4 linked regions of the Notamacropus eugenii genome follow. The protein of the gene in region 2 purifies or fractionates together with the protein of the main gene of each other region. This does not show direct contact. Links are inferred from orthologs where the notes say so. Each region holds a gene or a part of one and is shown on either strand. Other genes may lie near its edges. The genes, in order: DNAJB11, tubulin alpha-1A chain, dnaJ homolog subfamily A member 1 and HAX1.

What was found.
Region 1: the proteins of tubulin alpha-1A chain (region 2) and DNAJB11 purify together in Homo sapiens (affinity purification with mass spectrometry; 3 studies listed by BioGRID and IntAct, counting the BioPlex papers as one, with this or other methods). This does not show direct contact. The link is inferred for Notamacropus eugenii from reciprocal best matches to the Homo sapiens genes TUBA1A and DNAJB11.
Region 3: the proteins of tubulin alpha-1A chain (region 2) and dnaJ homolog subfamily A member 1 purify together in Homo sapiens (affinity purification with mass spectrometry; 3 studies listed by BioGRID and IntAct, with this or other methods). This does not show direct contact. The link is inferred for Notamacropus eugenii from reciprocal best matches to the Homo sapiens genes TUBA1A and DNAJA1.
Region 4: the proteins of tubulin alpha-1A chain (region 2) and HAX1 purify together in Homo sapiens (affinity purification with mass spectrometry; 3 studies listed by BioGRID and IntAct, with this or other methods). This does not show direct contact. The link is inferred for Notamacropus eugenii from reciprocal best matches to the Homo sapiens genes TUBA1A and HAX1.

Annotation. Positions count from the first base shown.
Region 1 is NC_092873.1:55,002,559-55,010,359, forward strand, and holds the start of DNAJB11 (dnaJ homolog subfamily B member 11), read right to left. Parts: upstream 3,005-7,801; 5' UTR 2,558-3,004; coding exon 2,490-2,557; intron 1-2,489. Other genes in the region: TBCCD1 (TBCC domain-containing protein 1), read left to right, coding at 5,852-6,187. UniProt on the Homo sapiens protein: As a co-chaperone for HSPA5 it is required for proper folding, trafficking or degradation of proteins.
Region 2 is NC_092874.1:221,086,158-221,093,818, reverse strand, and holds the start of tubulin alpha-1A chain, read left to right. Parts: upstream 1-4,653; 5' UTR 4,654-4,955; coding exon 4,956-4,958; intron 4,959-7,109; coding exon 7,110-7,332; intron 7,333-7,640; coding exon 7,641-7,661. UniProt on the Homo sapiens protein: Tubulin is the major constituent of microtubules, a cylinder consisting of laterally associated linear protofilaments composed of alpha- and beta-tubulin heterodimers.
Region 3 is NC_092874.1:312,841,980-312,849,686, forward strand, and holds the start of dnaJ homolog subfamily A member 1, read right to left. Parts: upstream 3,014-7,707; 5' UTR 2,724-3,013; intron 1,788-2,723; exon of another isoform or gene 1,702-1,787; 5' UTR 1,693-1,701; coding exon 1,561-1,692; intron 1,332-1,560; coding exon 1,154-1,331; intron 1-1,153.
Region 4 is NC_092873.1:378,176,440-378,183,320, reverse strand, and holds HAX1 (HCLS1-associated protein X-1), read right to left. Parts: upstream 3,019-6,881; 5' UTR 2,913-3,018; coding exon 2,507-2,912; intron 2,409-2,506; coding exon 2,227-2,408; exon of another isoform or gene 2,080-2,226; intron 1,733-2,079; coding exon 1,681-1,732; intron 1,503-1,680; coding exon 1,396-1,502; intron 1,289-1,395; coding exon 1,198-1,288; intron 700-1,197; coding exon 614-699; 3' UTR 400-613; downstream 1-399. Other genes in the region: UBAP2L (ubiquitin-associated protein 2-like), read right to left, coding at 5,407-5,502, 6,363-6,413, 6,824-6,881. UniProt on the Homo sapiens protein: Recruits the Arp2/3 complex to the cell cortex and regulates reorganization of the cortical actin cytoskeleton via its interaction with KCNC3 and the Arp2/3 complex. Slows down the rate of inactivation of KCNC3 channels. Promotes GNA13-mediated cell migration.

The sequences.
Region 1 (7,801 bases), on a different chromosome or scaffold from region 2:
TTCTACACAGACTTCCACAATTCAATGACACTTAAAAACCTTGAGACACATTAATGCTTTATTTCTAAGTAGTGGTGAGATTATATTTACTTATAAGGAAGACTTAGTGGTGCTCAGGCACCATCTCCAACCAGACGCCTTTCCTAGTGTTCTTCAGTTTTTCATATTCTCTTCTTTCTCAAATTATTCAGTTTGGCTTCTCTCTACATTTATTTTTAACCCCTCAGAATGTAAAATCCTTGGGAACAGAGTTTTGGGTTTGTTTTTTTTAATTCCCACTGCCTAGCAGAGTACTTTTCACATAGTAGATACACTTCTTCTGTGCTGGTTGAGTTGAAAAAATAGAACACTTTGGAGGAAATCATCTCATGGTACTAAAGAAATGACTACCTATGACCTCCCATAGAATCCTAAAGCGGTAAGCACCTTACTAGATCATATTGTCTGGTCCCCTGCCTTCATTCAGACACCTTATTATCCTCATTCTACAGATAAAGGGAGGGTAACATCTAAAAGGTCACACAGCTAATAAATGATGGAACAAGGACTAGAACTCAGGTCTTCTGCCTCCAACTGTGCTCTCTGCACTACTTCACACTGGCACTCAGAGGTGGCCTAGACAGGGACACAAGGAACTCAAGATGCTGATGATGTCCAATAAACTCCATTGGGTTTGGGAAGGACAATGGTTCCCAAAGGTTCTCCCTTCCTTTGTCTCAGTGTAGTTTGTGTCTCCGTTACACACCACTCAGCTTGACAGTCACTCCTCAGCTTTTTAAAAAGACATTCCCTCCAGAGGGGAAACATGACATCAACTCCCTTCTCCCACACTAGTCAGTCTGTCCATAGGCCAGTCCCCCAGTAAAGGGGAGCACAGACCTGTGACTCGCCCATCAATTTCTCAGCTCAGCTCCTTTTCACCTCCTCAGTCTTCCACTGGTCATGCTCCCTCCTACCCCAGAACCACAGAAGAGGAGTTGGAAGGACTCTAACCTTAACCTGAATAAGACCCTGCTCTCTTGCAACATTAACTTATAAATCTGGTTACTGAGCTTTTTCTTGAAGACCTTACTGCCTGCAGTCCATAACGTCTGGAGGCCTCCGTCTCACTTTCGGATAGCTTTAGTCATTAGCAGTTTTTATTCTTGTTTTTTCCCTTTTCCTCAGGGCTCAAGTAGCCACTTTGCCACTTCTGCCTGCTGGCTCCTAATTCAGTCCTTCGGGGCCAAGCAAAACACGCTTCTGTTCCCACCTGACAGGTAATGACCACGGCTCCTACAAGTCTATCTCCAGACATTTCTAGTAATGCACCTGCCACGGACCCCTCCTCATAAGAGCCCTGCCCCACCCCAGACAGTCCTACCCCCCTCAGCTCTCTCTTAGCATGGTCCCCCTATTATGCACCCCAGACAGTCCTACCCCCCCCCACCTCTCTTAGCACAGTCCCCCCACTCTACCTCCCCCAGGCAGTCCTACCCCCCTCACCTCTCTTAGCACAGTCACCCCACTCTACCTCCCACAGGCAGTCCTACTCCCCTCACCTCTCTAAACATGGCCCTCCCCAGGCAGTCCTACCCCCCCCACCTCTCTTAGCACGGTCCCCCCACTCCACCTCCCCCAGGCAGTCCTACCCCCCCCACCTCTCTTAGCACAGTCCCCCCACTCTACCTCCCCCAGGCAGTCCTACCCCCCCCACCTCTCTTAGCACAGTCCCCCCACTCTACCTCCCCCAGGCAGTCCTACCCCTCTCACCTCTCTTAGCACAGTCCCCCCACTCTACCTCCCCCAGGCAGTCCTACCCCCCTCACCTCCCTCAGCACGGCACCCCCCAGGCAGTCCTACTCCCCTCACCTCTCTAAACATGGCCCCCCCAGGCAGTCCTACCCCCCTCACCTCTCTAAACATGGTCCCCCCCAGGCAGTCCTACCCCCCTCACCTCTCTCAGCACGGCCCCCCTACTCTGCCCCCCAGGACGCCCCCACTTTCCTCACCTTCCAGTCCCGTCTCCCTCATCCACTCAACCTGCTCAATCCTGCCTCAGGCCAACCTCAGTACCGGATGTGACCCCCCAGGACGGGCTCCCTCACCTCTCCCCCAGCGCCCCCCAGGTCCCTCCTTCCATTCCTCTCTAGCCAGGACGGGGAGCCCAGCCCCCTCCCTTCCTGCTGGCACCGGCAGCCCTGCCCCCCAGTCCTGGACGCTGCCCCCTCATCCCCTCCCCCACCACAGAGAACCCTGACCTCTCAGTCCTCAGCTGCCCCCAGCAAAGCTCCGAGCCCCTCCACCCCTGCCCCCTCAGTCTCTCCCTCACACGGCCCCCAACTCCTTCCCCATCACAGCCCTGCCCCCCCTCAGTCCTCAGACCCCCTCGTCCCCTCCCCCATCACCCCCAATCACCGGCAGCGCTTCCCTCCCTCAGCCCCTCAACCCCCCCGATCCTTCCTGCCCCGCCTCCTCATGCCCTCCGCGCCGAGGCTGTCTCTCCTCACCCCGCCATCACGGCTCCGAGCATGTAGAGCAGCAGGAGGCACAAGCCGCCCAGCCTATGCGGGGCCATGGTCAGTCTCCTCAGCGACAGCCCGCACCTTCTTCCCCTATCCCGGGAGTCCCCGCTCCCCGCGGGAGGCGGGGCCGATGCACCGCCAGGCCAATCAGTGACCAGGGCATCAGCGCGTGCCGGCGCAACGACCAATCACCGACGGACACTTCAACGCCTAGCTCGCGTTCCCGGGAGGGACGGACCCGGAGAGCGGCATCCTAGGGTCGACCAATCACAGGCGGCAGCGTCACCGGCGTCGCAGCGCCCCCTCCTTTTTCCCATAGAGATACGCGGCTCTCGGATTGGAGCAAAACGACGGACTGCTGGCCAATTGCGGGCAGTAGCGCTTTTCGTGAGCCCCGCCTCCTGTCTCGCTTTGCCAATCCCTAAAAGCGATGGCTCGTCTTACCTAATCCCGAACCAATCATCGGGAGTTTTACGGCAGTCCTAGACTGGGACACAGGAAGGTTAGGTTTTTTCAAAGTCAGGGCTGGACTGCAACTGAATCTTTACTGAGCCCTCACCACTGATACAGACTTCCGAGGGGGGCATTGTCAACGTGAGAGCCGAGAAGCACCACGTGATCTCGCGGCAGACCGGGCCGAATTCGTCTCGCAGGAGCCTTCCGAGGCCGCTCCAGATCTGCCGGCGGACTGGAGTGTCTCCTGCTGTGCCTGCGCGCCTGCGCCGTGGCTCCCCTCAGCCTCCGCAGAGGAAGCTTCTGCGCAGGCGCTGGGGATGTCGGGGCAGTCCCTCTCGTCCCGCCCCCTGCTCTGCCTCGGGCGGTTCCTGCAGGTAACGTCCAGGGCCGGTGGTCTGGGAGGGTGGGGGTCATTACGCCTTCGGAGGGCAGTCCCAGGTTGACCCATGATACCCCCCCTTTTAAGAGAGGCGGGCTCCAGAGCTCCCCATTTGAGGGGGATCTCAGGTTCTCCCTCAGTTGTGGGGGGTCATCCCATGCCGTCCAATTTTAGGGGGCCCCCCGGCCTCCCCTTTTGAGGGGGATCCAAGTTTCTCCCCATTGGAGAGGGAGGGTCTCAGATTATCCCCATTTGAGGAGGGGGTCCTATGGTCTCATTTGCTGGGGCATCACAGCTTCTCCTGTAAAGTGGGGGGTCATGCAGCCCCCCAATTGGGGTGGTAGTGCCGTCTTCCTGGAGGTGATCCCACGGCCTCCTTTGGGGGGGAGGGGGCTCGGTGGGCTTCCCTCTGGAGGTGACAAGTTGGGGGATGGTCATGTGGCCTTCTCGAGCGGGGAGCAGGGAGGGTCCGGTTGGGGAGCGCCCCCCCTAACATGGGACCCAAGTCTGTCTCCCTGACCCCCCCAAGTTGTGCCCCTGGACTTGCCTCGGGTGGGAATCCCAGGGGTCCAGAGGATCCCAGAGGCCCTGGGGAGATGGGGGAGGGATTGGAAGCTGTCTCCAATTGTACAGCTTGCCCCTTCAGCCTTAAAAGGCACGATCCTGCCCCTCCCAGGATAATTTCAAAACCAAACCAAAGGAGAAAGTTTGGAGTCGAACTTCTCATTCAGGGGGGCATATGCGGGAAGCCAGGGGACACCAAGCAGGAAACTTGTATTGACCCTGAAATCTGTTTCTGCTCTCATCAATTGATCCAAATTGTGCCCTCAGGAATGAAACACAACCAGTTTCATCCCTTTTCCTCATGACAACCTTTCGAGTATATACAGACAATTGTCATGTTCCCTCTGTGTCTTTTCTTCTCCAGAATAAACATGTCTGGTTCCCTCGTTCCATTCTCAGGTGACAGACGGTTTCCTTTAGCCTCTTTGTTGTTCAGGTGGTTTGTTTTCCAAAGATTCCAGAGGGGAAAGATTTCAGCACAATGGCCTGGTTGATGTGTGCTTAAGAAGTAGAATTCATTCCAACTGTGTGAGCTTCACCTTGTGAAGCTTTTCTATTGTAGTGGTCAGTGCTGCCATCCAGCCTGCACCGCCCTGCTGCATGCCTCACTTGGTGTCTCTGGTCCTTGGGTCACTGAAGATGGTCATCTCTTGTGTCTTTCAAAGACTCTTGAAGGACTTTTTGTATCCCCAACCCTTAGCACGGTGCCCAGCACGTAGGAGATGTTTGATATGTGCTTATTGACCGACTGTTTGGATGGGAGACACCATGTAGGAGAGAGCCTTGTTCAAAGTGGCATTTTCTTCTGCCAAATCACAGGCTTTTTAAAAGCCAACAAACACCTTAGATGCAGTCATTTGTGTAGTGGTAAAGATGTGGTCCAATGGAAAAAAACACTGGTTGTCAGAGGCTGCCTGTTTGCTGCTAATCCCCTCGATCCTGAGGATGCCAATGATGCCTTTGGGGCTGATTCTCAGGGAAGTTGTAAAGTTGGTACCTGGGTGGGTGGGCAGCAGCCACCAATGTTCTCTTGCTCACCTGTGTTTGGTATTGATAGGGGCTGAGATTTTGTTTCCCACCATTGATATTTCCCCTCCTTGAAGGGAAATCCCTCATCACCCTCCTAATGGTGCTTGCTTTGGTGTGTGCCTCCTTCTTGCACTCTTACCTGAATCTAGCCTTCTTCTACAACCCTAAAAGCCCAGCCAGGGTCACTGTCAGAGTCCAGGCACACTGACTCCACTGTTGCAGACGGAGAGAAAATTTGATTGTGAAAACTTTGGCAGCTTTTCCGTTTGTCTTCTGGGCTTTGTCACCTTTAATGCCCTGGAGGTAACTGCCTCCTCTGCTCCTGGCAAACTCTCTTCAGGCTGGCTTTAGTCCCCATAATCTTTCATTCTTCTTTGTGAGATCATCTTACAAGAGTATGATCATAGAAGACTCTGAGGTCTATAGCACACAAACTGCTTTTAAACCATTTCCATGATCTGATGACTTCCTCCAGCCCAACAGGACTTTATAATACCTCTGTGACCTTAGGCAAATCCCTTACTTATAAGATGAAGGGAGTAGACTCCCCGACTGAGTTTCCTTCTAGTTTTAATTCTTTTATCTTATAAAATCATTGCATTAATTTCAGCCAAACACACTGGGTTTCTTGTGGGCTGGGCACCTTGTGATAGAGGATGGCTTGACCAAATAGGCACAAACGGCTAGCATGGACCATACAGGTAGGAATTGTTTTGTTAAGTAGTCCCAGCTGCCTGTAATTCAGTATAGCCAAACTGCCGGCCTTTCTGTGCTACTTCATTTAAAAATAGTTCACTATGTTGTCAGCGCCTCAATGATAAATGTATGTATGTTTTTGTTTCCAGTTAATTTACACAGAAACTTTGTTTCCTAGATTTGCAAAGGAGCCTCTTGAGACACAGATGGTGTCTGAGTTAAAATGGAGCAGTCAGCTGTCCACCTGTGGGTGAGAACAGAACCGTTTATAGTGGGCACTTTGCCTCTCCCTCCTCCAGCCAAATTCAGCCTTCATTATCTCAGAAAGATATCCACATATGTTCGAACCCGAGCCAGGGAGGGAGGTTACCCACGCCTCTTCTGGCCCACATGGAGGCACATTGCCTGTGGGAAGCTACAGTTAGCCAAAGACATTGCTTGGCTTTACTTTGAGATCTTCGATAGTCTGGTGCCAAGGACCCCAGAGGAGCGTCTGGAATGGGCTGACCTGATGTCTAGCTGCACGTGTGAGGAGGATATGGAGAAGCAGAGGAGTAAGGTAGGCCTTTGGGCCCAGTATTTTGGGGTTCAAACAGGAGAGAAACTATCTTTTCTACAATTGCAGTGTATAGGTTGGGGAGGCCATCAGAGCAGTTGGCAGTGAGGACCCCAGCGTCTCTGGTTCAGAATTAACCTTAGCCCATCCCACATCATTGTAATCACCTTCTCCAGCAGCAGCAGAGCAGGGATCCCCATGGAGAAGGAAAACAGTTTGGAGTGGGGGGTGCTGGGCAACACACTACACTAATTGTAAGGTGGGAGCACACATAGGAGGGCTTCTAGCACATTCACTCTTGATTCAGACAGACAGTAAGACAGGAACAGAGACATAATAAGAGATTAAATATTACTTTATTCTGGTCTAAGGATTGCTGATAATGGAAGCACCAGCTCCTATAGCTTCCCTACAACTCTTCTCTCAGGGACCGGTGAGAATGGAAGTTCCAGCTCCTAGCATCCCCTGACCCTTGATGGGGGCTGGTCAAGGAAGGACACATGTATTCCCCTTGAAGATTCCCCCTAATCCTTGATGGGCGGGCCATCATGCGCGTACAGCATTCCAGCTTGTGCATTCCCCTCTAAGCACAGCATTGCATTGTCAGATTCTCCGCTTACTGACCAATGCCCCCTTGATTTATAGGGTAACAGACAAAGAAGGCAGTTTGCCAGCAATAACCTCCCGAGTTTTCATTATCTCATTTTTATATCTTATTGCGCAGTCGCAATGGATATTTATAACTTTAAGTACAAATGTTTATGTATTTTATCATTATATAATGCTGTGCAAGTGTGGTGGAGATATTGACAAGCCACGAGCCTGGGAACTAGAGATTATTATGGCCATGATCCTGGGAACTAGTATCTTAAGAAGAACTAACAAAAATCCACCTTCCACATACTTACAGCTTCTTAGCCCAGAAGTTGTAATTATTCTTTCTGTATAGGAGTAGTTTGAAAATCTCGTTAATTTTTCAAATTAAATTCCTTTAAATGCAGAATTCTTGGGAGCAGGGCCAGCTCCAGGCTTTGGTTTTATTGATAGAGGAAATTTTTAGGCAGCTTTTGTCTGTAAGAGCTTCCTGGAGTACTAAGAGGTGGATTTCCCTGTAGGAGCAAATATGTACCAGAAGCTTCAATCCCCAGATCAGGTCAGGTCAGATCTTTCTGACCCTGAGGCAGCTCTGTCCTCTCAGTCTGGAGCATATCACACAGTCATGTGGATAAACTTAAAAACAACAAAAGCCAGAAATGTTTGGTTGTCCTCATGAAGTGACCCAAATTGCCTAAAATGTCAGGTTGAAGCTACCTTTGAGATTCTGTGGGTCAGCTCTTTGGTGATCAATAAAAAAAAATCAGACAGGTAAAATAACTTGTCTGAGGCCACCCAGTCAGGTAGTGACCAAGCTGGGCTTAGATTTCATGTTTCCTAACTTCCACAATTTACTCTGTGGCCCTATTTTTTCAAGGTGCCTTATGTAAAATAAGTGACATTGGAGAGTCAACTAAAGAACTATTGCTACCTTGTGATGAGCTACAAAAAAAAGAACAAGATGCCAACTTCAAATTTTGACTGGGAAACTGAAATGAAGAAAACTCTGGAGGGGAAAATGAG
Region 2 (7,661 bases):
ACATGACTAATGTGAAAATGTATTTAATAGGAATGTACGTATAGAATCTATATAAAACTGTATGCCATCTCAGGGATGGAGTGGGGAGGGAGGGGGAAAAGAGGGGAAGGGAGAGAAAAAAATCTAAGATATATGGAAGTGATTGTAGAACACTAAAAACAAATAAAATAATTTAATTTTAAAAAAAGCTTAACCAGGAGACTCAATAATATTAAAACAAAGCCATTTACTGAGATGGCATTGTAAAAACAGTAGCTGTGAAACACTGCCCTCACAAATCAGGGTCATAGCAAAGGGCTATAATACCATGCATATCCTTTGACCCAGCAATACCACTGCTAGGTCTGTATCCCACAGAGATCATAAAAAAGGGAAAAGGACCCACATGTACAAAAATATTTTGGAAATTGAAGGGATGCCCATCATTTGGGGAATGGCTGAACAAGTTGTGGTATATGAATGTAATGGAATAGTATTGTTGCGTAAGAAATGGTGAGCAGGCAGACTTCAGAGAGGCCTGGAAAGACTTATATGAAGTGATGCTGAGTGAAGTGAGCAGAACCAGAACATTGTACATAGCAACAGCAACATTTTTCGATGACCAACTTTGACAGACTTAGCTCTTCACAGCAATACAATGATCCAACACAATTCCAAAAGATTCATGATGGAAAATGCTATCCACATCTAGAGAGAACTCTGGAGTCTGAATGCAAGCATATTATTTTCACTTTTTTGGGGGGGAGGTGTTTTTTCTTTCTCATAGCTTTTTCCTTTCTGTTCTGACTCTTCTTTCACAACATGACTAATATGGAAATATGTTAAGCATGATTATACATGTACAACTATATCAGATTGCTTACTATCTTGGGAAAGAGGGAGGGAGAAAAATTTGCAACTCAAAATTTTATAAAAAAATGAATGTTGAAAACTATCTTTATATGTAATTGGAAAAAATAAAATACTGTTAAGGAGAAAAAACCAAATTGGGGGAATATTGTGGGCACACACAAAGAGAACCTTAACAGAGAGGCATACAGAGAATACATGTGACCAAGACAACTCATGCTTCTAATACTGCAGGACCCTAACATCATTCCTTTTCTCATGATACTCTTACATTGTCCCACCCTGGGCATGGTGTTTCTGCAGGGCATGTTGCTTTGCTTGGTTCTTGGTTCTCTGGGCCTATTCCCTGCTGTGTGTCTGTGTGCTACTAAGCAAACAGCTCTGCTGTAAGAGATTTTTGTCAGTGGGAGTGGGGAGAGACATCCTCTCCTTCCTATCAAGAGGTAGATCTTTCTTCCATGGTTGCTCTCTTTCCAAATGCCACAGCCCACACTCATCAGAGTTGACACCTACCTTGACTCATTTCTTAGTGTAATTTGATTTTTAAAAGTTGGAGAGGGAGCATGGCCATTCATTCTGCCAGCCAATGCCTAGCTCCACTCTAATTTCATTGAGCTTGAAGGAAAGAGACTCACATTTATTAAGTACCTACTGTGTGCCAAACTCTGTAGAACCCTCCCAGGGAGACTGAGGACTGCTTCCCCAGGAATGAGGGCAGTGAGCTATGTGTCACATGTGGGTTGCTGAGGGATAGAATAGTTTCCAAGTTGTTTCCTACCAGAACTACCAAGTTATGCTTCAAGAATATGGCAATGCAAAAAAAATGGTGGAATCAAATACTTATTGAGCACTACCTATGCCTAGCCCTGTGCCTAATGTTTTGCAGATACCTATGCTCAGGGAAGGACCAGACGACCAATTGTTAGTGTAATTTTAGATATACAAGGTGACTCAAATGGGGTGGATGTCTTGTGAATATTGCAATTTTCCATGTTCTTTTCCATTGTTCTTTTTCCATGCCCTGACTGATGAAGGAATCTTTTCAACTTTGCTAGTCATATGTCATATGTAACCCTCCTTTTGGCTACCCCCTCCAACTCATACTCACTGGCTGGGTTGGGGGACGAGAGACCCCCCCCAACTTCAAGGTACTCTGTACATCCACAGTTCTAAAACTATAGATCATAGGCCTATATCACAGATCTAGGTTATGAAATAGAGATATTTCTTTGGATGTCATTTAAGACCTTAATACCTTATTGCCTCCTTGTACCTTATACTCTGTAACTTCATCAGCTAGGCTAGAGGGAAATCAGGGGCCTCATAATCAATTCTCCTCTCACTGTAATATTATAATAAAAATATTTCAATCATTAATAATGTTGTTATAAAAATCAAGTTAAAACTCACAGAGAGAGGTTCCCTCCTGCTTCACTTGTTCTACTTACAAGCATGAACCATAGAATTTAGACAAAGGAACCTCAGAGATGATGCAGTTCAACCTGCAGATAAAGACAATGAGACCAAGAGAATTTAAATTACTAGCCTAAGTTTACATAGGTAGTAGTAGACACTGCCTGTCCTTAAGCAAAAAACAAAATCTGTTAGTGCAAGTTGGAAACTGGCACCAAAAATTACATAAATTTACACAAATATTTTCTTTTCTTTTGCCACAATCTGCACGTTGAATAAGTGTGATGAGGAGAAGCAAATAGAATAGATTAGATAGTTCCCTGCTCTACCATTTAAATATTTAATAGCCACAAGCCTCACTCAAATGGAGCCTCTTCTTGACCTAGATCTTACTGTTACTAATACGCAACAGAAAGTTCATTTACATAAAGTATATAACAGCTCTGAGATAAATTTACAAAGAAGTCATTTCTATGAATTCTCCCTCCTTTTTATTTAGTTCCCTGTAAACTGCACGAAGAACTGGGAAGATAGTATGGTTATTCATTAATCTTTTGTATCACATAACTAAATCAAATTCAGGGCGGTGCCCCTTTATCCAGACAGGAGACTGGAACTGTACGCAATGCAGTAGTTCAATAGCATTGGAATTTGTCACTCTCAGAATTATTCAAAGAAACACCTGAGCCAAAAATTCAGCGAATGTGTATCCTTTAATTTTTATTCTAATTGTCACTTGCATATCTGGGATAATAGGGGATTCTATAGCTTTCCCTCAGTCTTGCCTTTTCACTAAAACCTAGCTAAAGACAAAGAAATGAAACCAAAATTAGATGTTGAAGTTGTTCTTTTTATAGAATCTCAAAGAAACAGATAAAATAAACTTGTAGTGTTTTCCTATATGTAGAGAATTTGACCTGATGAAGAAAATCTGTGAACTACAAACTAGAAAAATAGCTGGTTGCCTTTCTTAGAATACAACCTGCACCAGCTGTCTCTTTTTGGCCCTTCTTTCTTCTCTCTATGCCACACCCTGCTTCCTAGTCCTTGGGGAATGAATGGGGTCTGCAGAACATTGTACATGGTGACTGGAGATCCAATATGTCTCTGACAGAATAAAAAAAAACAGTATCTGCTCAAGAAGAAAGTATGGTGAGTTGAAGTGAATAAAATAACTAACCTCTTTCCTTTTTTATTTTTCATCTGCATTGTCAAAGTAGTACTAGTTTCAACATTAATTCTGCATTAGCAATATTGACAACATGCCCTTTTTACAAAGCCTCCCCAAAAAAGGAACAGCGATCTGATTTCTGAAAAGAAGCAGAGACTGTCTGGGTTATTTATGAGGCTTTTGAGCAATTCAGAGTCTATTGTTCAAAAGCAATATGTACCTATAATACCAATAGCCAACACACATATCCAAGGCACAACACCCCTCCCCCCCATACATAGCTAATTCATAGGAGCTACAAATTTCAGTGTATTGAGATAACTGATTACATAAATTCCAAGTTGTTCGTTCTTGTCTGGTAAAGTATTCTTTTTTCATCCCACCTCTTGTCCTGTATGGTGGTCTCAGTTCTCCAGTACCTATTATTTTCCCAGCAAATAGAAGAATAAACGTTAACTGTCCACACAGGAGAGATGTCATGGCCAATCATTCTTTTATTTTATTTTCTTCAGTGGTGAATCAGAAAAGGTTGATTTCTTTTAAGATGCAATAAAACATACAAAATATGTTCAAACAGAGTGCTGTTAAAGGAACATTTTCTACTTAAGTAGAAACTATTCCCTTTTCTTCCCATTTCAAAATATGTTCAGTAAGCCTAGATCATTCTCTTATAAGACTTTTTTTTTGGTACAGGTTCCTGTGGAGACTTCTTATTTGGTTCTTAGATTAAATTCTTTTTCCATTTATGCTTGTCCATCATTTTCCTTGGTCATAAAACAAGGCTCAGAAATACCTTGGAATGGTTCGGAAATAAATCTGCAATAAATTTACAGTTAGAGATGCAACTTAAAAACAAATAATCTTCTTTCCCCAGGTCCTCTCAAGCTTCATTTCACTTCCTCTCACACTTCATTTTTAAAGCTTACAAAAAGGTTTCAACCTTCACCCTCACCTAATGGCTATTGCAGTTTATTTCCTAAAAGAGGGAAAGAGGCCTGAGGTCACTTTTTTTGGTTGTTCATTATTTTACTTCAACACAGACATTCTGCTTTTTAAGTAAAGAACTAATCCTCCTACAAAGGTGTAGTTTTGTGGTTTAATCAGTATAAACTCATCCAACCACAGTTTTCTTTTTTTCCCCTTCTTCCACCCCCACCCCTCTCCTGCCACTCCCTATGATGGATGCTTGCTTGGCTAACTGCTTTGCTTGGTCTCTTTGTCTGAAGGATGCAAACAGTCTATGGATGCTAGAGAAAAAGGGGTGGGGAAGAGATTACCTCATCCCATGTCGTGTGCACCAATCACAATTCTCTGGTCTTGGCTTCTCCGGGCAGATTGAGGGGTCTGGACCAACTGGAAAAAGCCCTAGCCCATCCCCATGGTGACAGAATTGTATATAGGGAGCTGTATTGGACCATGTGCAGTAGGTTCTCTTACATCGACCGCCTAAGAGTCGCGCTGTAAGAAGCGTCAACCTCTCTTCTTCTTCTCACCCATCGACAGCAGCCGCAAAGCAGCAATCATGGTAAGGTTCCCGATCTCCTTTCTTATGTCCTCCCTAGGGGATATTAGCGCAGTGAAGGTTGTTGGTGGTGCTGCTTGCGAACCTCAAGTCCATTTTCTTTGCAGCTTCTTAGGACAGCTGCTTTGTTTGTGCCTGTATCAGATTTCTTGCTCTTAAGCCTTAGTACGCAGACATGGCGGTGCGGACCAGAATTGGGGGCAGGCGGCCGAAAAACCAGAAGGAAGAACAAAGGAGAAGGGAGGGGTTTGGGAGTAATGGTTAGCGACATTTCAGTGCCGCATAGGGCTGGTCACTGCAGGCCATCTGTCTGGGATGATGCAATGTCCTGAGGCTGGGAACCGGCGATAGTTCCACTGCCTCATGTATATTTATGTGTTCGTGTTACTTTCAGTCTGGCTGCTCCCATCCCCCTCCCCTTTGACTGCAGTGTTGGGTGGGGCGGGAGTGGGGTGGGGTGCGGGGGATAGGGACTGGGTCATTGGAGAGACTAAGCAAAGAACAGGGTTTATAAAAACCAAACCAATAAAAATGAGAATATGTCACGTAAAAAAAAATACACATTTCCCCCGTAAAGTGCTAGTTTCTGTTAGTACTTTTGGTAGGGGGAGTAAGGGTGGAGTAGAGGGCGGAGTCTCGTCGGGTTTTGTGTGTGTGTCTATCTCCTTGGAATCGCTATGCTCTTGAGCAGGAAATCTTTATTATTATTATTTGTAAGGGGGAAAAATGTCTTTTAATAAATTTGATTAACAATCACATAAAAGTAGGCTTTTTGAATGGCTGAGAGGATTGTGGATTTTCTCCTCCCCACCCAAAGATAAAAAATAAAAAAAGTTGCGAAAGGTCTGGGGAGATAATCTCAGTTCAGCCTGGCAAACCCCAAGGGTTTACTGCCTTGACAACTCACCCAGAGTGAACAAGATGCTCATTTTTCAAGTCAGGGTAAAGTGCGGTCCTTTCAGGACCCTGGGGAGCTGTCCTGTCTCCTCTTCCACCCCAGCAAGAAATCAAGTCAGTGAATAGACAGTAGAATGGGTGCCCTAAAGAAGATCGAGACAAAGAGAACTCTCTAGTGGATGTGATCAGAATATTCCACAGAAGGCAGGATATATTGAAATGCACCAGAAATTTGAAACAAACCAAACCTTGTGAGATCTTGGTGGGTTGTTAGGCTTTTTTTTTGTTCTTTTGATGTTGTTTCAGTTTGGGAAGGATTCAGGAATTCTGATTTTGAAAGGCTGTCTTTTTCTAAGCACTTGCAGAGAAATGTTTGGAAAATATTACATGGAGAAAATTAAAGACAAAACAATAAAATACTGAGGTCGACAAAGAAGAATTACATCTTTCTAGTTTCCTCTTTTCTGGCATATAATATGGAGACCACCTTTTGTTCTGGTGTCACTTCATTGATTCATTTCAATTATTCACACACAGGGTCCCAGAAGGAGTCAGAAGAGAACTGGCAAAATAATATAATGAGATCATGCAGCCAGTTGCTGGAATTAGAGATGGCTATGTTAAATAATACAGTAGGTGCAAAGCAGACACTAGGCAGAAAAAATGCAGCAATGCAGCAAAGGGACAGCTAGCTTTTATTGATTTTAGCTCTGATTGGGTCGAGTGCTCCCAGATTGGGTGTGGTCTCCCCTTTTCAGCAATAAAGCAGATGGCTATATTGAAATATCAAAATCCTGCTAAAATGGGGGTCCTGCTCTTAAGGAGAAAGGGGTAGGGTGGAAACTAAGCTTTCTTAGATCTTGGGAAAATATTTCACTTAAGAAAAATAAAGTGTGGTAGACCAATTATCATGTAATCCACAATTAAACTGAAATCCATAAACCTTTGACTTGTGTTTATTCTCTAAGAAAATATTTCTAACATTTCCACAAATTATTATTTTTATATGATTTATTCACAGTATGAACAATAGATTTGGACAATGTGCTGCTGCAGCCAACACAAAGCATTGTTCAGGCCACGCCCAACTATAACCCTTATAGCAGATTGCTTTCTAATATGTATATAATAAATGTCAATTTCACAGGTGAACTTGAAGAATAGAAATATATTTTTATAAAAATAACAGAAAAGTTATATATCTTAATCAAGTCTAATTTTACAATTTCTTCTAATTTTTTTTTTGTTTTTATGCAGCGTGAGTGCATCTCTATCCATGTTGGCCAAGCTGGTGTCCAGATTGGCAATGCTTGCTGGGAGCTGTACTGCTTGGAACATGGTATCCAGCCTGATGGTCAGATGCCAAGTGACAAGACCATTGGGGGAGGAGATGACTCCTTCAACACCTTCTTCAGTGAAACAGGAGCTGGCAAACATGTCCCCAGAGCAGTGTTTGTAGATCTGGAACCTACTGTCATTGGTATGTTTAATTACAATTCCCTAAATCCTCTTGAAATTTGAAACTGTCAGTGTCAATTTATAATGAACCAATCCTAAAATTAAACTTTTATTTTGTGTAATTCCATTTGTCTGAGATGAGACTATTTATAGGCTTCTTTTCAGTTTCTGACCATGTAAAATCTTGAGGAAAACTTTTAAAATGTAACAAATATCTCCTTTTGATTGTTGACCATTTGTCTTTACCTTAGCAGTTAGTAAGAGAAGACAGAAAGACTCTTACCTTGGTGATTTTACACCTTTTTAATTTTCTTTCTTTCTGTCTTTCAGATGAAGTTCGCACTGGAACCT
Region 3 (7,707 bases), about 92 Mb from region 2:
AGAGCCAACAGTTTTATCCAAAAATTACATCAGATGACAACTATCTTTTTCAAAGGAGGGTTAATAGATTTCTACCAAGGTGATGTGTATGGAATTATCCTTACCTATTGTTATTTCTGAATTTCAGAAGGTATCTGGCAAAGTTAATCAATATTTCATTGTTGACTAATTGTGAGATGAGCTACATGGTAAATATGTGGGTAAAATCTACACTCGGTGATTAGAGCTAAATAAGAAGACGTGAATATAATGGAATATTACTGTGATATAAGAAATAATGAAATTTTATGTAATGTATAGGTATGTATATATACATATATACACACATGTATGTGTGTACACACACACATATATGCTATAGCTTGGGAAGAAACTATAAAGACCACCATGAACTAATTCAGAGTAAACTAAACAGAAATAAATTTGATGATACAACAGTTACAACACTCAGAGAGAAAAATAATCAAGATTTTGAGAACTCTGATCAATACAAAGAATGATAAGCTCCCCAAGTCCAGAAGACTGAGGATGAAACACCTCTCCTGCTGCAGATGATAAAAAATGCAGCTACAGACATACAGATGCACACGACCACGTTTTGCACAAGGACGGTACTAGATATTTGTTTTGGTGGACTACAATATTTTGAGGGGGTTTTTTCTGTTAAAAAAATTAATAAATGGGATAATGGCCACAATGGGGAGGTGACAGCAAAAGCTCACAAAAAACCTCAACAACCAGACTCAGAATAGTGATTAATAAATAGATCAATGTCCAACTGGAAGGAATTCCTAGTTGAGTAAGCACCACAACATTTTCTTTTTACCTAGTTCTACTCAGAATGTTGTCAATGGCTTAGAGATGGCATGCTTTTCAAACTGCAGATGACATGAAGCCAACAAAAAAGGGGTCATTTATGTCAAGTAACATCAGGCATTCCCCCCAAATCCAAATAAATTAAAACTGGACGCTGAGGATTAATTAACACTGGGGGGGGGGGGGGGTTGTTTTGTTTTGTTTTAAACCTCTACAGATATGTACAGGACAGGCGAAAGGTGCCTATCCCGTGAAAGTGTTCCCGTTTTAAGGAACTCCAAGGACAACAAAGCCATTGTTTCACTGCCATCGCAGACTCTCTGAAGCCCCTGCTTACCTCTCCGTTCGCGCTGCATTCTCCCACCTCCTCCAAAAAACATGTCAAAGATGTCCATGGGAGAGCCGAAGCCACCCCCGGAGCCGCCCTCTTTGATGGCCTGCTCTCCCCCTTTGTCATACAGGTCTCTCTTCTTGGCATCAGAAAGCACTTCGTAAGCTTGAGAGATCTGCTTGAACTGTAACAAGAGGCCACAGTGTAAAGCAGGTTCTTCTAAGGTGCAGCCAGGACCTAGGTTCTGGTCACGTCACATTTCACACAGATTCGTCAACCCACTGACACGGACCCTCAAACCAGACAGAACACAAACCCAAAGCAGACCAGACAGGACAGCGGTCATCAGAGGATTCCTCTTCCTCCTACTTTCGGTCCCCACTAAGACTCTTTAAAAAGGAAGCACCACTCGCCTTCTCTCCCTCGTTCGGGTTCTTGTCCGGGTGATACTTCAGGGCCAGCTTTCGGTACGCCTTCTTCAGCTCCTCCTGGGAGGCGTTGGGCTTCACCCCCAGGACGTCGTAGTAAGTCGTCTCCTTCACCATTTTTACAGTCTGCACTTAAAACCACAACCTGAAGGCACTTAGAATCGATTGATGCCAGCTGATCGATTACGTATTTCTGAAGGTTTTACCCAAGCCTTTGAACCAAGAACTGGGTCACGTTTCATAACCCTAACACCTGGGCACACCTGGGGGCCTTTAGGGACCGTCCCAGCCCTCCTGCCTCTCCCCAAGGCCGCCTCCTACCCGGCTACAAGACAAAGAGCCGGGGGCCCAGGCCGGTGGAGGGCTCGCCACAAGCCCCCGCCCGGAGGCGCTTCCCCGGATCCCCTGCTGCGCCCTCGGAGGCCGGTCCCCCACCTCCCACCTCCCCGGGACGCCCCGCCCCGGGGCCAGGCTCCCCACCACGAGGTGAGGCCCCCAGTTAAACGTCTGGCAGGTCATCCTCGTCCCCCGACCCACCGGGGCCGCCTTCGCCTCGGCCCCCCACCTCTCCTTCCAAGGCTCCCTTTCCGGGGCGCCCCCCCCCGAGATCACGGTCTCCTGACCCGCTACGTGGGCGCTGCCTCCCCCCGCCACGCTCGGCACCCCCACAGGAGGCTCGCGGCCCCGACTCGAGGTCACGACCTCTATGGGCGCTCGGGGATGGAGCTCGCGTGTGTGTGCGGCGTACCTGTACCCACGCGCGCGCGCGCACACGTACACTCACCATCCAGGGCTCCTTCGGGGGAGGTTGCGGGGGAGCGGGGACGCGCACGCAGACAAGAGCGCGCACACAGCGCCCCCGTACCCCCGCAAATAGGTGCGCCCCCCCCAAGAACCGAAGAGACCGGAGTGGGGGGAGGGGAAAAAGGAGAGAAGAGGATGGGGGGAAGCTACCGACATCGCGGGGGGCGGGGAGGTGGCGAGGAGGCCAGGGAGAACGCCAGGCCCATTGTTCGGCGCCCAGGCTGCAGAGCGGGGGCAACACCCCTCGGAAATCCGGGGCCCCGGCCCCCGCACCCCGGGAGAGGCGCCAACGGCCTTCCCGGCTCTGGCGGGAGAGCCGAGGTGGGGGGTGGGGATGGACTTACCGGGGAGCGACGCTCGCCGTACGCCCGGTGTCGATGCCCACGTCCGGGGTGGGGTGAGAGGGGACCGCCCGGGAGCCGGTGGGGATGTTTGGGGATGGAGTGGAAGGAAGACAAGATGGGGGAGGGGGCGCGAGTTCTTGCGCGCGGAGCTCGGGCAGCGGCAGCTGCTGCCCTCCGCCTCTCGCCGAGTTTTCTGGAAAGTTCCGCTCGCGGCCGCGTCCGGCGAGTTTTGTAGCCGAGCGGAGGTGCGTCACTCGCCGGAAGTCCCGCCCCGCCCCGCCCCCTCCCGCTTCTCCCCCTCCCTGCGGCGGTTACTGGGGTAACGGGGGGCGGAGGCGGGACTCCGGAATATTCTAACGGGGGAGAAGGTGGAGGTGGATGATGGAGGCTGTTCGGCGCTGGCGCTGGGGAGGCGGGGGAAAGGAGAGGCCTAGGACCCGGGGAGAGCGAAGGTTCTCGGCCCCGTCCCCTCCCCCACCTCCCGGGGCCCGGGGAGCCAAGCTAGGGCTGGTGGGCCTAAGGAGGCCCCGGCCCAGGCTGGCGATGGGGAGGCGGGGGAAGGGAGAGGCCCAGGGCCCCGGGAGACCGAAGGTTCTCGGCCCCGTCCCCTCCCCCACCTCCCGGGGCCCGGGGAGCCAAGCTAGGGCTGGTGGGCCTAAGGAGGCCCCGGCCCAGGCCGGCGATGGCCCCCGTGGCCCCGCGCCCGAAATCGAGTAATGGCTCCCGGATCCTTCCGCCGGTTTCCCCGTTTCTCCCGATTTTATCAGGCCAAAGCCTCCGGGTCCCCGGGGCTTAGTGAGGATTGTCATTCACTTTAAGTCAGTAGATTAATGTTGAGGGCGATCCCAACATTTCTGCCTGTTAGAAAATGGTATAAATTTGAAAAAGGGAGACTTGGCAAGCACATTTCAGTAAACAAGGAACACCTAATGGGGCAAAGCACCCGGGAATTTCGGATTAACTGGGATGGGCCTCCGGGTTTGTGGCCTTCTCTCCAACTAGGTTTGGAGTGACTTCACTTGGGTAATCGATATCTTACTGCTTGTCTTCTCATGGGAGAATTGGAAACTCAATTTTTTTAAATGTTAAAAGAGTTTTAATGTCATCGGGAAGTATTTAATGGGCTGAATTAAAATATGTTCAGAAAGAAAGAAATTATCTCCACCCTATTTGTAATTTTAAAATCTTGGAAGATGTCCCGGGGCCTGAGCACCCGGGGGTGGCAGAGATTCCAGACAGGTCCCAAGGATTCCCAGGCCAGTTCATTTTTCCTTATACCAAAAAGCCTTTTGGACATTTGAAAGAAAAAAATACATTTAAAAAGCCACTAAGGACAGCTTCCCTGCTGATGTATTTGTTGCCCACCTTTGGTGTGCTGGTCAAGCCTGACACCTGTCTCCTTTTGAGGCCATCAAGAATAAGTCAAGGATTTAGCTGAGGGGGCTGAGGAAATTGAGCTGAGTCTTCCCGGGCCAATTAATTTTAAGGATGCTTTTAATGAAAAATAAAGTCTAAACTACAAGGCAGTTCGGGGCTATCAGGCCACTTACATGACTAGGGCTCCTACTAGACAGACTGATCTTCAGGGTGTGAGAGGCCTGGGGTAGGAAAGTTACTGGAGGAGGACCTTGTACAAGTAAATAAACACTAAAAAAGAAAAAAATGGCAAACAGTTCTGTGTAAGTGAAGACTAAGTCCCAAACTTTAATAATCCCCTGTGGGGAAGGTGATTGCCCAGTGTGAAGCATGCACAGGAAAATTACCAGGACCATCTAGGCCACTGCATAGGTGGTATTTCTAACAGTCACTGATCCTTCTCACAGGTGAGGGTCATTTGCAGCAAGGTAGCGAAGTCTCCATTGCAAACTCAGTGCTAGTGTTGATAATGAGATCATCTTTGTTACTACCACCACCTTCTCCATTCCCCAGATCACTATGGCATCTTCTTCCCGGGAACCCGTTGTAGGGCAAGGAGGGAGAATGCCAAATCTGTGCACCTTTGGGGGCCTGCGCTGAAGAGCTGCTCTTTTCTTCACTGATGGCCGGATAAAGACTCCCTTCTTGCCATTCCAGGAATTCAGGTTTGCTACTAACTCAAGGATGCCCTTTCTTCCAGGCAAATCACACATTCGTCTTCATATGGTTCAAAAGAAAGACACTTCCCAGCAACATGACTCCATCTCCCAGGAACTTTCCAAGAATGATTTGTCTGAACTATCCCTAGGAAAAAGAGACTTGCCAATTGAGGGAGAACTGAACCATTTTCCCAGGATAAATGGAGCCTCTTGAGGGGGCAAGAACTTTTAAGAGTAAGGACTCTCAGCTGGGGATGGAATAAAGAAAGGTGAGAGAGGGTCAACCAGAACTATATCCAAATATTATCTGCCCTGATCAGTTGTCTTCCTGGAAGCTAAATCTGAGAAATTACTGAACTACAGAACTCCTTCCTTCCTAGGGCAACAGTGATGTGACAACTTCTGGGAGATATGGCACCCACCTCTCTTAGGGCATGATGACAAAGTCATACAAGTCTCACTAGATTTTTACCATCCCCTCATGCTATTATCCCTATGTCTCTCCTCCCTTTCTCCCATTCCTCGAAAATGCCTTGCACATAGAGGTACTATTCTTGACAAACTGAAGAGCTACCCCATCATCGTAGATTTGTTGAAGGAAGAAATAATAGGGCAAGATGAAGTGAGATGAGAGTTGAAGAAAAGCCACTCTTGTTGAATAACCTCAATTTTTTCAGTAATGTAGGAGTTGAGATCCTCAGTAGGGAAGGTGGGGATGGAGGAAGGCTCTGGGAGATATGAGAGGGTTAGGTATACCTGCTGTGGAAAATGAGATGGAGAGTTGACTAGGAAGAAGTAGAATGATTACCTTGCTGCAGTGAGGGTCTATTTGAGATTATATAACTATTGCAACTAATGTGGTCTTAGGATTTCCTGCAGTTCTAGTTAACAGTACATGAATAGGAGGGAAGGAGGAAAAATGTAGGAGTGACTGAAAGTTGAGTTTCGGCAAGGTGTTGTCAATGGTAGGACAAGGAGCAAAGGATTCAAGAGTATAGAGCTGAATTGTTCACTAAGGGTTTAGATAATGAAAACAGGAGAAAGTAGCTGGTGAAAAGGTAATAATCTGTGAAAGAACTTAGGGATGGAGGGAATGGAGGTTATAGTGAGGATGAAAAACATAGTAATACATAGGGAAAGATAAAGTATAATGGATTTTGATCAGAGAAATTTTGGAACTTAATTTTGGAACTAAACTTTGGAAATTAAGGAACTCTGAAGTGGAACACTTGTGGGTGATGGCAAGATCAAGGATATGATCACTTTTTTGTGTGTGCAGCTTAGGAAGAATGGAAGGAATAAGTCATACGAACTGAAATAGAAGTCAGGATATTTGAGGGAGCATCAATATACATATTGAAGTCCCTTAATGAGAATGTAAGAGTTAGGATGTGGAAAAAGACTATGAACCATGAACTGAATTTATTGAGTAAAGAAGGATAATGTCCTACAGTGCATTAGATAACAGCCATCAGGATCTGGATCAGGGGATAAATTTGGAAATCATGATCCTCAAAGGAGGAGATCCTGCTGAGTCATAGTGATAGAAATTGAGTCTAGAACTGGTCATGAGGAGCAAGAGGCACTCATTCCAACGGCTACCATAGCCAGTGAGTCAGAGGTATGAGTGAAATGCAACTAATATTGTAAAGGTTGTAGAAGGAAGCAGAGCTAGCAAGTGGAAGCCAGGTCTCAGTACCAGATGGAAGGAGTAAGAAAGAGTTTTATATGAAAGGAAGACTGTTAAAAAGGGAGCAAGCATTTCAGAGAGCATAGTGCAAAGAGGTGTGGTGAATATGAAGTAAGACATTGGCTTATGTTGAGGTGTGTGGGAGAAAGCAAGCAAGCAGGCAGTTGGGGTTAAGGAATAGGGTTAGTGTATTGGCAGCATGCTGGAGAAGTGCCTTGAGGGTACTGGAGGTTGAGGGGATCTTATCTAGTAGCATAGTGCTAGAAAAGGTTCTAGAAGCCAAGAAAGTTGGTGAGTGGTTGGTGAGGTCTTGGCCTGGGTTGGATTGGCTGAGCCAAGCAGCAGGAGAAAGCTCTGGAGAAGGCTAAGGACCAAAGTCAGGAGGCCATTGATATGATCTTGGCTAGCTGCAAGATACATGTAAAACACAAGGTTCATGTACAGTAATATTGATGGTCCCAGTTGTAACAACATATACCCCAATGATTTCTCTCGCTAGTTGACTGACTGACTAGATTGAGGGGATGATAATGCTTTTTTTCTCTCCCATGGGAATTCAAGGTTTCATCTTCTCCCATCTCAAGTTAACTGAAAGAGAAAAAAGTCTCCTGTCTCTTTAAGGGCAAAAATCCCTCCCAAACTCTCCATCATTAAATAAGTCAGTGATAGTGATTACCATTTTTTTTTTAAATATCAGGAGTAATACATTTGTAAGCAACAAAAAGACAATAATTATTTGAGGAACAGTTCATTGGAATGCCAGTCCCTGCATAGCAGGTTATAGAGAACAGAATTGGCTTTCCCCCTTCATTTTTCTCCTCCCTGAGAAAGGAAAACAGGTAGTGAATACTTTCAGTAGTGAATAGAGCATAGAAATCTAACACAGAGGAGAAGAAAAGGAAGGTGAGAGGGACTCGTGTGTATGGCTTACTAGTCCTCTGCAACCTGCTGCTTCCTCTAGCGTTGTGTGAAACTGTTCCCATCCCTTGGGCTCCCCAACATCCTTCTTGGATCTCTTTTACGGCAATGGTGCTGCACGTTTATGCTATTTTTTCTTCCTGAATATTCCGGAGGCAATACCTTCCCTGACAGCCTTCCACTGTGGTAATGTGGTCTCTTTGCTCAAACAGCTCCAAAGCTTGGCCAAAATGGATTTTTCTCTTCCTTCCTCAGCATTCTCCACTAACTCCTATTTTAAACGTCAGAGGTCTTGTAAACT
Region 4 (6,881 bases), on a different chromosome or scaffold from region 2:
AGATGTTAGTCCAATGACCTCCAAAGCCCTCTGAGCCTATGATCCTATGTGAACACTGAAACAGAAAAGATTGAATAAACTGCCTCCTTAACCTCTCTTTAAGTCCCTGGTCTCCTCTGCAGGCCCTCTCAAATAGCCAGCATTTGATAACGTCCATTACTTTTTACTAAATGTACTAGGTTAGAACTGCTGTGATTTAAAAAAAACTTTTATGCTAGTAACTTTATTTCTTAGTGAGGAATGTTCCTCACTAGGAACATTAATACTTGATTCAAGTACAGGAATACAAGAATATTTATACTTGATTCTCATTCATTCTGAGGTGGGGGCAGATCAAAGAGAATCAAAAGGCCCAGATGGGCCCTACAGGGAGCTGGACACACCAAGAGACTGAGGCAGTAGCATAAATAAAGATTTTATTTGGGCGGTGACAAGGGGGAGAGGAAATGAAGAGTACCTCTTTCTTTACCTGTCACATTTCCTACCCCTCCTCCCCCATACCCTCATTGTGGCAGGAAGATCAGCTGAGCCAGCTGGTGATGTCAGGAACCCTAGATGGTAATGAGCAGGCCAAGGAGGGGAGGGATGCAGTCCTCCATGAAGTCATCTTGGGCTACCAAGACCGGAACCATCGTCTTAGGAATGAATTCAGGATGGAGGAGCTGTCCCCCAACTCTGGATGTTGTGGGGTACCTGAATCTAGAGGAGAATTAAATATCCAGGCAGGAAGGAATGAACCAGAAGTGTGTCAGATTGAGGATCCTGAATTCTAGATGCACTGGCCTGTTTGCTGGAAAATAACTTTCATCCCCCCAGTTCCAGTCCTTTTGCATGGGTTGATCCCCTTGCTGGGTTGAGTTCTCTCTCTGAGGAAATAACTCTGGGTGCTTTTATTTAGTTATCTGTGTACATGTGGTTACCCCAATTAGAATGTAACTCTCTTAAGGGCAGAATAGTTTTATTTTTGTCTTTACCTCCCCAGGGTTTAACACAGTAATTGGTATTTAATAAAGGTATGTTAAGTGGATTTAATTGAGAGGTCAAGAGGGTAAAGGGGAACAGGATATAGCCTGATATAGTGTAGACTGGAACTAAGGAGAGCAAACGGAAGAGAATTAGAACTCAGCTTCTCCTTCAAGGGCCTTTCACCTCTGTAGCTCAGGGATGGTCTCACCATTGCCTCTCTCTTCAACTCACCATCTCTAGAACTGCCATCTGCTTCTCGACGAGTTACTGTGGTTTCTTTGTGGCCCTCACTATCTATGACGGTGCGCCGCTCCTCTACCACCTGTGGGAACAGTTATCCCACATATTCAGGATCAGAACAGATGACATATTCCATGGACCCCAGCCCTTCATGATCCTCCCACCCCCAACCCACCCCATCTAGCTCACCCCATCTGGTCCAGTTATTTTGGTAACGGAAACGCTTCTGAAGTATGATTTAGGCTGGGGCTCTAGGACTTGACCCAGGCCCTCCTGTGAGACCCGGGAATCAAGATCTGGTTTGGGGGGAGGGGGGGGTGAGAAGAGATGAGGCATTAAAAAAAGTCGTGGAGGGGTATCAGATACTCAGAAAGCAAGCTGGCAATGTTCAGAGATAAGAAGTGAACTTGAGCGCAAGGGTCTGAGAAGGTAATCAAGGACCCCTTGTGGCCCTGCCCCTTCCCTGGCACATACCCTTGTCCTCTCTGGTTGTAGCATCAGGAGTCACTGGCCACATGTCATCAAACTGCAAAAGAAACCACAGCTGATGAAAGGGGTCCCTTCTGGTCACCTCCCTAACTCCATCCTCTGCCCCACCCCGCTTCCTGAACTACCCTCGCTACCTTGGGGCCCCCTGTGTATGGTGACAAGGGCAATGGACGTGAAAGCAGGGGACCTGGGTTTGAAGTCTGGCTCTGCTCCCTCGCGTCCTGTGGCCTTGACAAAGCACAAGGCCCATCCCTTTGTCTGCAGACTGGAGGCCTCGGAGGCCTCTCTGCCTTCTGGGGGTTCCTCCCCGAGGCTCATCACTCTCCACCCTGCCAAGCTCAGCTCCTGTCTGGCCTCCTGGCGCCCCGGCACTAATGCCCTTACGTTTGCAGCCGGGCTGGACCATCCGTCCTGGAAGCTGTGCGCTGTCTCCTCATTAGACTAAGAGCTCCCTGCACTGAGGAACTGCGTCCCCCGGATTTCTCCCACATCCCCGAGGTTTGGTGGCTCTTCCAGGGGAACGGGCCTCACCCCACGGAGTGGCCTCTTGGAGTCCCAGTCCGGGCCCGCTTTGGGAGATGGACGCCCTGGCCCGCTCTCCGAGTCCCGGCTGAAAATCCTAGCCTGGTGACTATCTGGGTACTTGAGCATCGAGTCCCGGATGGTCTCGCCCTCCCTCCGCCTCCCGTCTGGGCGCTCCGGGCCTGGGAGCTCTGCAAAAGGGCAAAGGCACGTCAGGGCCCGGGGGGGGGGGGGGGGGGGGGGGCAGGAAGCGTGTCTCCTGCCTCCCAGCGTGCGGGGCTTCACGCACCGGGGGCGCGGGAGGGCAGGGTCCAGGCCCCCATGTCTCCGAAAATGCGGTTGAAATCTCGAATCAGCTCATCAAAGCCAAAGTTATCGTGGAATCGCATCTCATCTCCAGGCCCGAAACTAAAGCCAAACGTGAAGTCCTCGGGGGCCCCAGGGCCGCCGAACCTGGAGCCCCACGCGCCGCCCCCTCCTTCGTCCTCCTCGTCCTCCTCATCCTCTTCTCTAGTCATGCCTCCAAAGAAGGGGTCCCTGGGTCTGGGAGGCAGAGAGAGAAGCACAAGGACGTGGACACCGAAAGGGCACCTAAGCGGGCCGGAGCCCGGGGGAGGCTGGGTTTGGGGCGTGTGTGTGTGCGTGTGTGTGTGCGTGTGTGTGCGTGTGAACATGCGAGCGAAGACTGTTGACATCTAGACATACACACAGCCCTTCCCCTGTCTCTCCTCACCCCCGCCACCTGTTGCGACAGTTTGGACGGGTGCACCGTACAGTCAGGGGGCGAAGGAGGGAGATGTCAGGGGCCGGGGTCCCCCTCCGAAGGCTCCCCCCATTTTTTTAACCGTCCGGGCCCCACTCTCACCTCTGAGGCCCCGAGAATCCGAAAAAGCCCCGGAAAAGGTCGAACAGGCTCATCCCTCAGGCGGGACTCGAACCCTCCACCCGCCCGCACCCCAAGGCCCGGAAGGGCACCAGACGGCGGGGATCCACCACACTGCCGGAAAGTGATCTTATCTTAGGACTGTGGGGGCAGAGGGCGAGGGAGAGGGGAGGTTTCGATGCGGCCACACTGCCGAAAAGCGAGAGAGCAGTACGACCGTACTGCCGGAAAGCGAGGAGGGCAGACGGACCGACTGCGCTACTAGGGTAGTTGCGACACTGACGGAAAAGTAGTCACACTGTCGTAAAACGAACGTAAGAGCCCGCTCGTGGGAAGGAGGGAGCGGCGATGCCGGCGGGGGCAGGACCAAGGAGCGGGCTGAACTGTAGGAGGGCCGGAGGAGGGGCACATCCGGGTCGAAGTGGAGGAGGAAGCGGTTTTACTCCCGCGGAGATCCGTGGTTCGGTCCCCGGGGGCTTCGTGAGACAGGTGGCTGTGGAAGCAGAATCTCCGGATCCTGCCCTCCGGCTGCTCCCGGGGAGGTCCTGCAGCCCAGCTCCTGCCCCCCAACCCTGCCCCTTTAGATTGATGCTCCCGGCCCCACCATGCTACAGAGCCCAGAAAGCCTGCGTTGTGTGAGGGGAGGCCAGAGTAGCCGGTGCAACAGGAAACCCAGGACCCCTCGGGTTGGAGTTGCTGAGAGCTCGGGCAGGAAGGAAGAGGGCTGGGGATCGGTCTGGTCAGGAAACCTAAGCCAGACAGTGCAGGGCCTCGGGCACAAAGCTGCTAGAGGCGCCCTGCTCCATCCACCCCCGCCCGCTCTGGCAGCCCGAAAGCTCTCCAGGATACGCGGGCCGAACCCAGATTTCCCTTGGGACAAACAGGGCAACAGTTCCTGCTGGAAGGCGCAGGGAAGCCTCATCAGTGGGGCCGAGAGAACAGCTCTGGGGGTTGGCAGAGGCTGAATCAGAACAGGACAGGCCACGTTGGAGCACGGGGTAAAACCCTCGAGATCGAGGTGACGGTCTCCAGGGTGCCTGTCGGCTCTGACGTTCTGAAATTGATTCTTGCCAGGCTGATACGTCTAAAAGCAAGATGGACAAGATGTCTTCAAGGTGCATTCTGTGTTTACCAAGGCAGATGGAGACACGAAGACAGACTTCCTCCATCCTCCTCCCTAATTAAATTTTGTAGCCACAAGGGGGTTAGCTTTCCGTGGGCCCCGAGGGTAGCACAGATGTGGAAGTAAGGGGGAACGATGGTGAGATGGAAAGGGAAGCTGGAGTTGCGGTGGCTAGGGGGAGGGGTCGGATGGATTTATTGTTCACCCCGCCCAAAGTGTACTCTGTATTTCCACTCCTTTCTACCTAAACAAGACCCTTCCCAGAAAATCACAAACTGATTCTGCCAGTGTTGTGTACCCCACTCCTGGGTGCTTCCCAAGTAATATGTTTAGATCAGCCCATGTTCCACTGCTTTACTGTGCGAAAACATTGTTTCCAACCCAGTTTCTCCCCACTGCCCTTCTCACTTCCTAGTTTAACACTAAAGGTGAAGTGCTTCTGAGAATTGAGCCGAATGACTCAGTGTCAGGAAGAAGGGGACACCGGCACATCATGGTTAGGAGTTGTTAAAGGGCGAAGATTTCATTTTATTCCACTGCCTTCGGAGCCTGCTAGTAGAGGCCCAGTTGGTACAGTAATACTTATTCACCCAGCTGGTCATCAGGGAGACTGAGGACATCCTAGACGAAGCAAGAATGGGCAGAGGCTGAAGGTAGAGGTTTTCTTTTTATATATACAAGACACATTAATCCATTAAATTTGAGGACACAGTACAAAAAAAAAAACCACTTCAACTAATTCATCTGACAAATCTGTTCATATTCATGACTTTTTTTGTTTTGTTTTCCTAATAATAAAAAGGGAGACAGGGCTGTTAGGCTGATGATATCTATCTGGAGTCCTCTCCCCCAGCCACTTCCCACCACCAGGGTGAGCAGGAAGAGGAAGAGGAAGGCCAGAGCCCACAGCAAAGAGTTTCATAATCTTGAATGCGGGGGTAGTGTGGGGAGAGAAGAAAAAAGAGAAAGGAAAAAAATACAAATCCTATATTACATACAAGAGGATAGGTAGGAGAGGAAAGAAAAGGGCCTTCAGAAGTGAAGCTGAGGCCTGGGGCAGGCTGCGGGGGGGCAGCAGGACCCTCCACTCCACGTGCTTTTGTGTTGTAGCTGTTTCCTTAGGTGCCAGGCTGAGGCCCTCTCGGCAGGTAGGGGGGCCAAGGAGGTGAAGAGGGCCAGGGCCTCAGTTGGCCCCCCAGCTGTAGCTGTTGTAGGCAGACTTGCTGCTCTGGGGCTTCTGCGGGATGGAGCTGGTCTGGCTACGTTGCCCGCTGCCCGTCTGCAGGGGAAGGGATGTTGGGGTTGGGGGGGGAGGGAGGGAGGACAGGGAGGAGAAAGGAGGCCAATTAGCAGGGACCTTTGGGTGGGAAGGCCTGGGAACTGTCATGTTCCTCCATTTCTCCTCCTGCCAAAAGACCACTCAAAGGCTACACTTTCCCTTAAGCCCTTAATCCAAAGAAGTTGTTGTCTGCATAATCGATGGAACCCTTGGAAGTTCTAGTCCCTCTTCGGTCAGCAATAGCATAATTCTGATTTCAAGACAAGAAAATGCAGAGGGCAAGATACCTTCAGAGCTCATCTAAGGGACTAAGTCAGTTTCTGCTCATTCTTCATCTTAACCCTCCACTTCACCAAAAAGGCCACTCATCTGGAAAAAGATTCTCAGATGAGTGGTCAAAAGAGCTGGGTTAAACTGATTTTGATCCCTGTGACTCCTTATTTGCACTGCCTTAGAAACAAGGGAGCACTACTTTCTGCTGTGGAGATAGGGCACTAAAAGAATGGGTTCCATAACACCCCTTCCACCCCCCATCATATCACTGGACCCCTATATACTGAGCAGGGTAGAGAGGGGAGACTTGTCTAAGGCTTCCAAGATTCAGATGCTTTCCCAAGAACCCTATCCACTCTAGTAGCCAAGTGCCTTCTACAGTTGGGAAGAGAGAAAAGGAGAGGAGGAGAAGGGAAGGGGAGGCCGGAGAGCCCAGCAAAGTGTGTGAGTGTGTCTATGTGTGTCTGTGTATCCCGATTTGTGGCCGCGCAATCTTTCTTCTCCTTGATTTCCCCAGGGCTGTGGCATGTGGGGTTTGGGACTGGCAGGGGGTAGGTACAATTATATCATTCAGAGAGTTTCATTACCTGCTCCTCCTGCTGGCGCTGGCAACAGAGAATCATCTGCAAATATGGTAGCTGAGGCAGAACCAGGATATATGGAAAATAAAGGGACAAACTTTGACAATAGAAATCCATGGTTAGAAGGGAAAGCTATAGTGGCAGGATTGGGGAGGGGTGGGGCATGGTCCAGGGCTATTGGGAAAATATAGGGGATGAAGTGTGCCACAACAGGGAGGGGACTCAAACCCCCTCCAGGTACCTATCGGGCTGAGCAAAAAGCTCCCCAACCTGGCCCCCTCTCTGTCAACTCCCTTGCCGGCCGCTTGTGTCGTGTACGCTTGTGTCTGTGTGTGTTGTGTGCCCATGGCCGGCGCTGGGGATAGATGGGGAAAGGGAAGGGAAGAGGGAAGGGGGAGGCAGCTTTAAGGAGTGGTAGGGAAAAGGATCAGTGGGGGAAGAAAGACAAGAGGGGAACGGTGTGTTACCTGGCCATCCTGCTGCAGATGGTGATGGAGGATCTGGGAGTGTGGCTGCTGATGGGGG